Oryzias latipes: one gene and its partner. The protein of the gene in region 2 interacts with the protein of the main gene of each other region in a pairwise test. Links are inferred from orthologs where the notes say so. Each region holds a gene or a part of one and is shown on either strand. Other genes may lie near its edges.

Evidence for each region.
Region 1: the proteins of zmynd19 (region 2) and enox1 interact in binary tests that used the Homo sapiens proteins (3 or more experiments, as listed by UniProt). The two-hybrid records come from large-scale screens. The link is inferred for Oryzias latipes from reciprocal best matches to the Homo sapiens genes ZMYND19 and ENOX1.

What each region holds. Positions count from the first base shown.
Region 1 is NC_019879.2:14,129,960-14,136,278, reverse strand, and holds the start of enox1 (ecto-NOX disulfide-thiol exchanger 1), read right to left. Parts: upstream 3,921-6,319; 5' UTR 3,614-3,920; intron 1-3,613. UniProt on the Homo sapiens protein: Probably acts as a terminal oxidase of plasma electron transport from cytosolic NAD(P)H via hydroquinones to acceptors at the cell surface.
Region 2 is NC_019870.2:12,307,687-12,313,959, reverse strand, and holds the start of zmynd19 (zinc finger MYND domain-containing protein 19), read right to left. Parts: upstream 3,475-6,273; 5' UTR 3,245-3,474; coding exon 3,194-3,244; intron 1-3,193. UniProt on the Homo sapiens protein: May be involved as a regulatory molecule in GPR24/MCH-R1 signaling.

The DNA of each region.
Region 1 (6,319 bases), on a different chromosome or scaffold from region 2:
GCATTTCACTTTAAAAAAAATTGGTTTATTCACTTTTACACAGACTGAATATTTTACATCTGACACTGAAGCAATCCCAATAATAAACTCAAGAGTAGCTACGGAAAAAAAGGAAACACCCTGCCTAGAATGTAATTGTGCAACTCAATGAAAAATTAACTAAATTACACTTGCAAACATTTGTGAACATACGAATTTGGAGTTAACCTCTCTTTCTGTCCTGAAACTTCACCCAGCCATCAATATTACGATTCAAATCCTGTGCAGCAACAGATTTACTGTCATTCAAGTGTGCAAAACACAATGAAATGTCCAAAAGCCTTTTCCTGGTTTGCTGCCTGAATTTTTTGGCAACACTTGCCTTCTTCCTGACCTTTAATGGGCGCCATCAGTGGCCAGACTGACATCACGTGACCAGTTCACTCTTACATTGTCTAGCGCAGTAACTAGAGAGCTGACAATGTCATCAGCTGTTGTTGTGTCCATCAACTCAAGAAACTCTGCTGTGATGGTCTCCTCAACACTTCTAAGAAATATGCACAGTTGTGCAATATCTGTATCTGTGCTTTCATCAATAGTGACCAAAAATGCAATAAATGACTGGATTCCTTCATTTGGCACCCAAGTCTCCTCAGAGATGTTGTATCTGCAATCGTAATCCTTAACAGACTCATGCTGGCAAAGGTTGACTGTTTTTTGGGGTACAAGACTTCTGCAGCCTTCAGAATTTTTCAATGAGCTCACTATCTGAAAATGGTTTGGACGTTTGCTCCAACTTTTTTGCAATAAGGTAGCTAAGTGTCACTGCTCCATCACTGACGTCACGGCTGCAGTAAATGCAGATGCTTATTTTGTCAGTCCAGCTAATAGTTGGTAAATCTTCTCTTTTCTTAACTCCCCCTGAAAATGGTGAGCTTTCTTTATGGTGAGTCTCGTAGTGGTGCTGAATGTTGTATTCTTTGAGCACCTGTTGATGACATACAAAGCATGCAGGTTTTGCATTCAACTCCGTGAAAAAATAAAACTCTTTCCATTGTTCCTGGAAAGCTCAGCCCTCTACTTCCACCTTTGTTGTTTTTTTTGACAAGATTTTGGCCATTAGGCTGTCACTACTGATCATTCTTATAGCAATGTATTAGTGGTGATGCTCGTGCGAAACCAAACTACATCCTCCTCCTCCTACTCAGACACAGAGCTTTTAGGTTTCCCTTTGGCACGTGCAAAGATATGCTGTTTCACCTGTTTTGCTTTTCCTTTGCTCCCCCTAGTGGTGGAATTGCTCATTTCGGTTATTTCTTTAAAAAATCATATCTCGCCACAGGAATGGACTAGAAACATGTTTTTTTTAAAGATCCTTATCATTTTTACTCTTCATGACTGGGCCAGATTGAACCCTCGGCCAACCATATATTTTGACACCCCTGATCAAGGGCCTTGTGGAGGTGGTCTGGTGGAGGGGGGCATCCCGGTTCATCTCCGCCCCCCAATTTTGACTTTCACTTTAGACACCACGCACAGCATGTTGGCACACCACACACAGCAAATACACACAACACATACACTCACCCTCCCTTTTGCAGAGTGGGGAGGGCATTTTGGGGGGGATATGGATACGGGAGGAGGGGGTGAGGAGGCTGTAGAGGGCAGTGGATTGTGGGGAGCTAGGGATGGAGCTGCTGTTGCGTTGTGATCTTTGGGCTGCTTAGGTCGGGCGCTGGGGCTGGGCTGGGGTGACGATTTTCCGGCTGTAACCCCCAAGCTGGAGGTGTGGCTGCAGCAGATACCTGGAAAGATCTCAGACCTCTCAGTCCAGAAAAGCGCAGTGCTAGGAACAGCTAAGATCCTGCGCAGGACCCTCAAGCTTCCAGGCCTCTGGTAGAGGACCCGAGCTTGTGGGAGAAACCACCCACAGAAGGTTGAGAGGGGTGGTTTCTTTTGTTGTCTGTTTTTTATAAAACACAAAATGTGACGAATAAATATAAAAAGAAAAAAAAAAAAACAGAACAAAAACAAAAAGGGGTTTACACAAATTTACACCCTGGATATTTGAAGATACATAACCTCTTTTTGTAATAGTAAAGCCTGTAAAACCAACACAAAAGGCCTTTAGCTCCCATCTGTTCGCTCAAATGTTGGACAGAACAAGTTAAAAAATAAATTAAAAAATCACTCCTGGGTTGTGGCTAGGACTGCAGGGAAGAAGGCCGACTCCCATTTCATTCATCACTCTCTCCCAGTGTAAACTGGGAGCCCTCACACTCCTAAGCTGACATTAGCTGTGCAACAGAAATGGCGAGCAGTACTGGAGCTATCCAGCCATACGGTTTTGATCCAGATTGAAGTGTATGAAGCGGAGCAGGGAGCTTGTGGCCACTGATTGGAGCACCTACGTCCCTGCTACAAGCTTTTTACAATGGTACTTATTCATCTGCTCATGGTTTACACAATTTTTATCGGACTGGTTCTTTAAGCACAGACTCAATTCTGTCAGATTCCAAACAGGATTTCAAAACAGGTTAAAGGTATTTTTAAATGTCAGAGTGGCCTTTGAGGAAATGTAAGCAGACACAGCTTCAAAAGTTATTTTAACTACAAAACAAAGCTCTAATTAGGTTTAAAAACTGTTTATGTTTTAGGGGACAATCATTTTCATTTACATCAAACTGAGTTGGAAGAAAAATAATTTCATGTCTTTGCAGACGCATTCCGCTCCTCTGATGAGGATGTTGCCCTGGTGATATGAAACAAAGAGCTTCTGTTTGTTTATCCTGAGTTGCTCAGCATCAGCAAGCTGGACTCAGATTTAAAAGGTATAGTCACGCTAAACACAGGCAGTTTTGCTCCTCTACGCTTGCTTTTTTATGGCAATACCTTCTCCATCATATTATTCAGAAGCTCCAGTTACTGATTCTTTTAAGGTTTGACCTAAAAAAACAACAGCACAAAAAATACATTTTTTGTGTTAGATTTAACTTTTAACAACCAACTTCTACTGTGTACAGTCATTGTTGGAAAGAAAGAGAAAAAAAGCAGGTCTCTGTGCTTCTGAAGGGTTGTCAAGGTGACTTGATACCAAGGATGTTCTCTCCTCCTCCTCCTCCATTGCTCAACCTCTCCCCCTCTCATCAGTATCAGCACAAGTCAGCAGAGAAATCCCACCCGTGTTTATAAAGGACACAGTAAGAAATGGAGGTGCATCCTATGAGATTTATGTCCAATCTAATGGATATTTTTTCTCCTTGAACAGCTTTTCAAGAAGCAAAAGTGAACACAGCCCTTCTTTAGTCAGCTTCCTTTTATTCCTGTTTTATTTGCATTAAATACAGTCTATGGTGTAATATATGCACTTTTAGGAAAATCTGTGGTACTAACTCCTGAGATTCAATAGTGCAACTGTTAGGCATCTTTGCTCAAGCTTTGGTTTGTAAATCAGCAAATATTCTGATCATCTAATTGATAACGGTTCTGCATCCTCTGTGCGCGCAGGAAAGCTTTAATTCCTCTTCAGCGTCTCCCTTCTGCCTCTCTCTGCTTCTCCAGAGAGCGCATGAGCTGTTCCAACCTTCCAGCAAAGCGAGAACCCGTCAAAAAAGCGCACAATCCTGCTCTTTACCTTACTGCCTCACGACGCAGTCCAGTGGTGACTGATCCGGCTGAAGGCACGGGATGTGCAGGCGTGAACGCAGCTCAATCCCGGTGCTGGAGAGAAATCCTCCGCGTGTTTCCTCTCACGCACTCTGAAGCATCTCAGCCAGGAGACGCCGCTGCCGCCTCCGGTGGAGCGCGCTACCGACACACGTGCACGCCGTTACCAGACAATACCGATTCTCCTTCAGCGACAGCTTTTTTGATTATCAAGACGAAGAAAGAGTCGTTGATTTAACGTTTACGAAGAATGAGAACTCCGATTTTCTTATCCCTGTAGAAAACGCGTCTCTATATTCTTTTGTTCATTCCTGGGGCTGATCACAGCCCTGATGATCAGATACCGAACAAATTGAGCAGTTACCTACCCACCAAATTGATGCACAAACCATTCTTTCAGTTGAATAGCAATCCCAGTTAATAGTCTTTCACCTCTGTGCTTGACGTTTGAACTTCTTTATTCAAAAATTCCAACCTGAAAAATCATGAAAACTGAAAGACTTTCAAATCACAAGTACTACTATTTTATTCCCAAACAACAAAACTTAAATAGAATTTCATTTTTTCCACTTCTCCACTAAACCATAGAACACAAACAATACATTTATGATTCAGTATCTTATCAAGTAGAGGATTTGCTTTAGAAAAACAGTAAAAAGTAATCTGTAACGTGTAACTTGCACAACACTGATTGTTAGTACCTAATTTTTAATATTTCTACAATGTCTATTATACCAACAAAGCTTCACAGTTTCTACCTTCAAACAAAGGCTGAAAAGTAATCAGCTTTGCATACATTGAAGTTGTTTTCTGATTTGAAATGTATTTTCTTAGTTATCTACACAGTGGCAGTTTTTGATATGGGAAAAATGGGCGGTGGACCAGGGCAGCACTTCATAGGGGGCGGCATTTTCCGTGCCCGTTGCGTTACACATAATGTGCTTCTAAATTCAAAGAGGCATTTTTGAGCTATTGTTTTGACACGCCTGCAGCTGCCGACACTTTACACTCTTATTTTAACACATCAGACTCTTAACAATGTCTTCATCCTATTCCCTCTTCACACTTATGGTGCAAAAAAAAAAAAGGGATGAAATAACTCAGAGTGAAACAACGTAAAACAGGGACATGAAAAGGAATTAGGCAGAAGAAACACCCGTGCTCAACCCAATTTCTACAAAAGCAGGCAATGGGGATTATTTCCCACAATTCCCTGCTCCCACACAGCAGACCCGACGCGCACGTGACCACCACTTGCGCCCACACCTCTTTGCGGTAGTCTTTGTAACATAAGTCAAAAAAACTCGAGAGGGGGGCGCAACTCACTGGTGACTGGGTGAATCACACTAACAGGTGATTGGGAGTCTTTTTCTATCTAACGATCAACTCTGGGCCGCAGCTGCAGCTGCGCCTCCCGTCATAGAGACGGAGTGTATCAGAGGGAAGGGGAGGGGTGGTGGGCGCAGACCATTTTTTATGGATTGAGTTTTTTTGGAGGATTTCTGCTGTTGGTGTTGCACAAATTAAGGGAAATGCCAAATATTTTTGGAATAATCATACTGATGAGTTCTATGATTTAGTTTTTAATGTTTTATAAGACCTAAAAATAGTATTCACAATAAGTTTTTTTTTTAGATCTAATCCCTCTGATATGTTTCACAAAGACACACACAGGACGTCACACATTAAGAAATTATTGCCAAAAATGAAGCAGTCCAGCTCTAAAAAAAAAGCTCTAAAAAATGCTAAAAGAGCTAAGAAAACGGAATTATTTGATTTGTTATTTCTTATTATTATTTCCAGGTTTTCTTTGTTTTGTTCTGCAGCATGTTCATATTTGTATCATTTTGACAGAATATATTTCTATGGGGAGCAAAATATTATAAGTTATTTAAGGTTTAACTTGAGTTACTCTGGATTAATGTTCCTGTTTTTATTCATATTTATGTTCAAAAAGTTCAGTTTAAAAGGTTTAAAAGTTTAGCTTTAGTGTGTTCAGTAAATGTTTATCTTCTTTGGCCCAAAACCTTATGCGTGTTTTTAATTTAGGCTCCTGTGTCACTCAGTATGACCCCCTGTCCCCCTGTAATACGAGTCTAGAACATTCATGCATTTTTTGTGTAAAATGGCTAAATAGAAGATAGGGAACACAACAGGATGTTGTCAAATTTTGTATGTGTGCGGGGGGGGGCTGTTGGGGTTACTCGCCCAGGGAGTAAGTTAGTGTAGAACCGCCACTGATTCTACACATCATAAAACATCTACAGAGCAAGACATGGGCAACAGAACAGAAATGATGAAGAGGCGCAGCTCACAGGTACACAGCAAGTTTCCATGTGGAGAAGACAGTTTTCAGAAAGGACCCAAATCATGCCATACCAAAGTCCTATGATAAGAAAAATGAGTCATCCAAGAAATTCCTGGACGTTCAGATATTGAACTTAACAGAGGACAGCTGGCGCCCCCTGCTGGCCCCCTTGAGCACATACATAAATGAAGGATCTGCTTCATAAAGAAACCTCATTAATAATTTAGTATTTTTTGTTCTGCGTTTTGGATTCTATGGAAGTGATTCTGTAGCATAATTAAAAATAAAAGTCAACACCAGAAAATGATTTTTCATTTTCAAAATGAAGCTGCATTTTTCATTAAAATGAAAAAGCAATCTGGCAAA
Region 2 (6,273 bases):
CCCCCCCGGAAAATTTTAATATGGTGCAATTTGGTGCATTCTGGTGACATCTAGCACTTATTTATACACTTTTCAATGACTAAAAATAGAGCATATCAAACTTAAATCTGCTCTAGTCTGTTTCAGATGTTTTGAAGGGAGCCCTGCAGTGTAGTAGTTAACACTAGTTAAAAAGTTTTCATGCTGCTTCTAATCACTGCTATTTCACATTTGTTCCTAATCAATAGTTAAGAAGTTTTATTGACTCTTTTGCCCTGACTGCCTTAAGGTTCTGCTTTTTGTTACTGTTGCAAAGTTACATTTACTTTTTAGTTACTTTAGTTACCTAATTAAATTAAATAATTGAAAAATTAAATACAATTAAATTACTGAGATCATTCAGCTAACTAGAAATACTTACTGCTTACAGTGTTGTAAAGAAAAACAAAATTAAGTAGTTTGACCTTATACTCCATTTGAGTCTGAGATTCAGGTATTTGGAGTTGCCTTTGATTCTTTGACATTCAGCTTAAAGCTTAGTGCATACAGTTTCATCTTCAATGCATTCATTAAATATCTTGCTGTCCATAGTACTAATTCCACCCGTCACTCCATCTAACATATTCCTATCTATTCCTGCCATGTCTTCCACATCTCTGACATGCTTCAGTCTCTCTTCAGTGACGGTGTTGGATTTATGATCATCGCGGTGAAAAACCACCAGGGGGCGCGCTGATATGTGTGTCAGTTTAAATATATCTGCCTAAAATGTAATAATAACCCACTGGCTTGTTCCTTCGTTGTTGCTGTTTAACATTGTTTAGTATTGAATTGTTACATTCAATAAAGTTTGAAAAAAAAATTGAGTGAGCGCGTGCCGCATGGTGCTCGGTAGTGACAGCCGCGCGCAGGCGGGAGAGGAGGAGAAGATAAAAGGTTTCCCATAGAAATCCTTGAAGTCTGAACACAGGACTAGCAGAAAAAGTAAATTATGAAGACGAGGTAAATCTACACGTTTTCGCAAAATATACTTTATTGAAAAAGGTGAAAAATGTATTAATTGTTAGATATTTTAGTGGCCCGAGCGGACAAGTAAAAAATAAAGTCTTGTGGTCCGTACTGCTCGAAAAACAGGACCGGGCCAGCGGACAAATGGCTATGTCGAGCCCTGATTTGAGGTAACCATTTATTGCGATTTTCGCCGTCTTTTGCGGTATGCATATTGCACACCTTGATTTCGCGATAACGATAAATTTGCGGTATATTGTGCAGGCCTAGTGACTGTCACTGTGGATTTAGTTTCAGAGATCACTCTGTGGGTCATATAGTTAATATGAACTACTATACATAGGCCAGATGCAGATGCTTCCATTTCTTTGCAATTATCAGCAAATATCAAGTAACTAGACCAGGGGACAGCAACCTTTAAAAGAGCTAATCACGTTGATTTCTCACCGACCACAACTCAGAAGGAGCTGTAGTCTTATTACGACAGTGGTTTGTGTTTATTATAGTATTGTCACTGTTATAAGAAATATAAATTATGGTTTATTCATTCCTAAAAACAAAATGAAATTAGATTTTTTTCCCAAATACGAATGAGTTTCTAACTTTTGACAGAGCTTCCTCTGACTTCCTTTCAAAATAAAAGACACACTGTGCCACATGGGATCATCCCACTGCAGAATATTTTGTACACGTTGTGTAATGTCAGTAGTGATTTAAAACACAACACAACATTGTTTTGTTGGTGCACCACAGCCACCGATTTGTAAACCTAACAAACTAAAATTAAACCAGAGCTAACTAAGTTACTTTACTCATAAGGTAAACTTAAAATCCTTAATTTTCTTCAAATCGACAGTGCTTCTTAGAACTGATTATCTCTGGCACATGGTGCTTAAAAGGCGACTTTGATAAACTACAAAACTGCATTGCTTTATGGCTTGCATTATGGGTATTGTAGTCAAAAACCTTGCAAAGTGATGTGTACTGTGCTTTAACTGCTCGTAAATGACTTTAATAAGATTTGACTTGTCTGACTGTTGTCATTCGTTCAATGTGGCTTTTAGTCCAAATAATAGATTACATTGTACATTTTAAAAACATTTTAAGTTTTCTTCAGAGCCACAATGGAAAGAAGCCTCCTGTTGCAGACCACTGAACTAGACAAATAAGTAGCACAGTTCAAAAACTAAGAGATTTTTCTAATACTGTTGTCTAAAAGTAAGCTAAGCAAGTTAGAAAAAAATGCATTTTAACAATAAAATAGTTATATAACCTGCTAATACACACCTCTGCATGTAATAGACACAATACTGCAGCCCTTAATAATTGCTAAATGAAATATTCAAATACGTAAGTCTCAGGCTGCAGTGAGCACAAGTCAAATGTGACAGATGAGTTATGGACCTTGAAGAGCTTCTTCTGTGTGTGTGTGTGCGCGCGCGCGCCCGCGTAAGGTGTCTCGCGCTGCTGGATGTCGTCATTCAGCAGGTGGGCAGCTAGATCCATCACAGCTCACACAAGTTCATCCACCTGTCCAGTTCATCCCGGGTGTCCTGTGACACCAGCAGCGTTTCCAGCCCTTCCTTCACGTCACATCCTCATGGAACAAATACTTGGGGTTGACATCATCCTTTTCTTTAAATAAATGACAAATCTCCGCCTCGCATTCATGCTGCACACCACAGTTCAGGCCGGCAAAAGTCAGTTGATAAGCGTGGCAACACTTCCTTCATTAGCCAACAGTTGAGTGTAATCCAGATCCAGCCGTTAGCGTGCTGCTAACCATCAGCGACTGATAATTTTGCGGCACTTCACCTTACAATTTGCACATTTTCAACACTACTGATAACAGCACCGATAGTACAAATTAAAAACACGAATCAATGTTTCAATATGCGTCACAACTGTTTTGAAATTAGAAACCGCTAATGTACCCTGCTACATGTAAGCTAGCGCTAGCTCTAATCGAGACTGATAGCGGCGGCATTCAGGAGCAGTCTGGCTCGACACGGCCGGCTTCTCTGCTCAAACGCGGCTAAAAAGATTAAGCTAAACGACGCCAGAGTCCACAATGGCCACATTGTTATTACAGCTGCAAACTAGGATCCACTAATGTCTGTAACGGTTTCTTCAGTCGTGTTTTTGTATTCCCCGAGGGCCCTCCCACGGCCGCACATGGCAGCCCTAGATCATAGATCCAACTCACCTTCCCGGCCACACGGCCGAGCCGTACGATCCCGAGCTTGAAATCCGACATGGGGAGAACGGTCTTGCAGTGACACCGGGAGGAAGTAGATCCAACTTAATCGGAACCGAGATGGACAGCTCGCCGAGGTAGCTCCCCAGCGATGCCACTTTGGGACTGAGCGAGTGGTAATTGACCTGTGTCCGGGTCTATCCGGCCGCAGCCCTGCCTCGGTGACACACCACCACCGCTGGCGCAGGAGAGCCGAGCGAGCTGCTGCGAGGGGGGCGGGACCGGGGAGAGGAACTAGTCAGGGGTGAATCAACCAATGAGATGCGAGTTTGGTGCCAGCAGCGAGTTCATTCAGACCAATAGAAAACGAGAACGTTCAAAGGCCGCCCATTTCAGATATGACGCCATTGAACTCTCGTGACCATGCACAGACATTTGCGCGCGAAATAAAGTGATAAGTAAGCAAATGGCATTGAAACTACTAGTGACCTGATAATCCTATTCTAATTGTACAAAACTAAGTCAGATAGTTTAAAGATGTCGGTTTGCCCTCAACTCAGCACATAGGTTTGCTTTTAGAAATTACAGGTTATTTTTGAGAGCCTTCAGAGATTAGATGACCCAATCTAATGAAAATGTTTTTTTGGTGTTTTTAACATGATGATGATGATGGTAAAATTGCCTTTTTAAGTATTTCTTCATTGTGGTGAAACAAGAGAGATCAAAAAACTAAGTTGTTTGTAAAAGCTTGTAGTTGTGATGTATCATCACATCTATAATCTACATTACAGGCAATAAGCTCCCTCCACTTCATTCCAATGCTGCAGACATAATCTTTGTACGTCTCGTCTGAGCTGGCATGTGGTTTAGAACTGTACGGTGGTTAGCTCCAACATAGCTCACCATCTTTGTCCCACCGCTAAAGTATGGTTGTAAGGGGCTGTAATGGGCTTGTGAGTGAGAATGTACACAGATGGATGATGGGAAATAAGCCAACGGTCCCGCCCACAACTCAGGCAAATTTCTCATGACCCTAAAACGCTACAAGTTTTTTCCATTTTGGCAAAGTGCTGGCAGTTTTGTCTGAAATTTGGATTAGATTAATGACTGAAGTCTATTCTATAAAAGTTTTATTAGTGAGAATGTCACAACACTAAGCACATTTAACATACCTGTACTATGGGTCTTGGACCAAAAGCTTTTTCTTTTATGCTACATATCTGAAAAGGAGCAGTGCCTTTTTCCTAATTCTGCACCAGAGAAAGAAAGAAAAAGAGTCTAATTAAGACAACATAGTATTTATACAAAAGCACAATTGCTTGAACTCTTCCAGTTTTAGAAAGGATAGGATTGTTATATTTGTGATGTAACAGTCATTAAAGTCAAACAAATTCCATCATGATTAACAAACATAATTCATGTGTTTTGTGGATGGGCATTGCAACATAATGCCACCATGTCCACACAAACCCGGCGTGGTGTGCATAGGCGGAGCAGTGGATGTGTGGCCTATTAACAAAACCTACTCTGCTGAGGACATGGATACTCTAGTGAGTGTAAGTAAACTAGCATCTTCAAAACACCTGTTTTTGCTCTATTATTTATTTAGCATTTTACACAAAAACTCAGTTTCATTTTCATTATTATAAAGTTTCTTTATGTTACTGTATTTGTCTAGCCTTGTTTGAATGTCTTCAATTGGGTTTAAACCAACTTATGATTCATCTGGAAATGTTTCTTCAATGTGAACCAGGCTTCCCCAATAACATTTAATCTATTGTATTTAAAAAATAATGCCTTATCTATTTTATACTCATTTATTTAAAAAAAAAAATAAGGGTTGTGCCATGAAAAATGCAAATTAATATGCTTCTTTTGGGGCACACAGCTTCCAGATTTTCACAATAAAACTACTTCCTTTTTTGTAATTCTGACCAGATCTGGTTCAACCAGCTTGTTTTATGTGTGCCTTGACTTCTAGTGTAGCAGCCACAGAAAATTCCTACAACTTAATATAAATTAACGGTAATCCATCTCCACAATTCGAGTTTTTTTAGATAGTTAAGCTTACAACAAGATGAAATTCACAGTGGAATATGTGCATATGCACAACACAAGCTGTAATTGAGGGGAATTTCCTCAAATATTGATTTTCTGCATCAATATTTGAGGAAACTAAGCAACCAAGACGGCATGGTTCCAAAAAAGACTATCTCCTTCGAACAAGAATTAACCCTCTCAAGGAAAAGACACACTCTTTTCAGGATTGCAATGAACACATTCTGGACAAAGAGGACAAAGGCCGCCAGTGTTTTGAAGAAAAACAAACACTGAAAGGAGGCGCTTACATGCAGGTATAACTTAACTCTCACAATGCAGCTTTGGTTCTCTTGCTCAAGCAGTTTAACAGCAGTTAACACATGAAATCTTGTGATCACAAAACCCCCTCTGGTTGATCTCAACGGTTAATTGTCACTACCCCCCAGGATGGGCAGTTGAGTCACAGACACGTGTGACTTGAGCAGCTCACATGTGAGAATCTGGCTGCAGCCCATAAAGTCTGAAACTCTACAAAATACACAGAATTGGAATCTTTTGATGAGAAGAGTTTTATCTAAGACTTAAAAAAAGGTTTGACCTTTTCACGTTTTTTCAAAAACCCTTATTTTCACTTCAAACCAACATAATATTACCTTTAGATACTGTTCTCAGAAAGCAAACAAAACTGTTTTTTTTTTTTTTGGAAACAGACTTGTAGTCTGTCATTGAGATTACATGAAGCAGAAAGACAAGTTAATGAAATTTTTTGACATGTAGAAACTATTTCTACCATATATAATTATATTTATTCATTTTAGCCCAATTAGGACTCTGATAAATTTATGTTAACTATGCGGTTCTTTCATATTTTCCCATTTTGCCCTCCAATCTGCAGTGATTTGTGTTAGATACAACATAAGGTGGTACACACGTTAAATGTTCCAGTACTGTACTTTAATGAACATTATAAACATTATTATGCATGAGCTCCTTTTTTGTGCATCTAAGTAAATCATTAAATGTTCTTTATTAGTTTCTCTTCTACGATT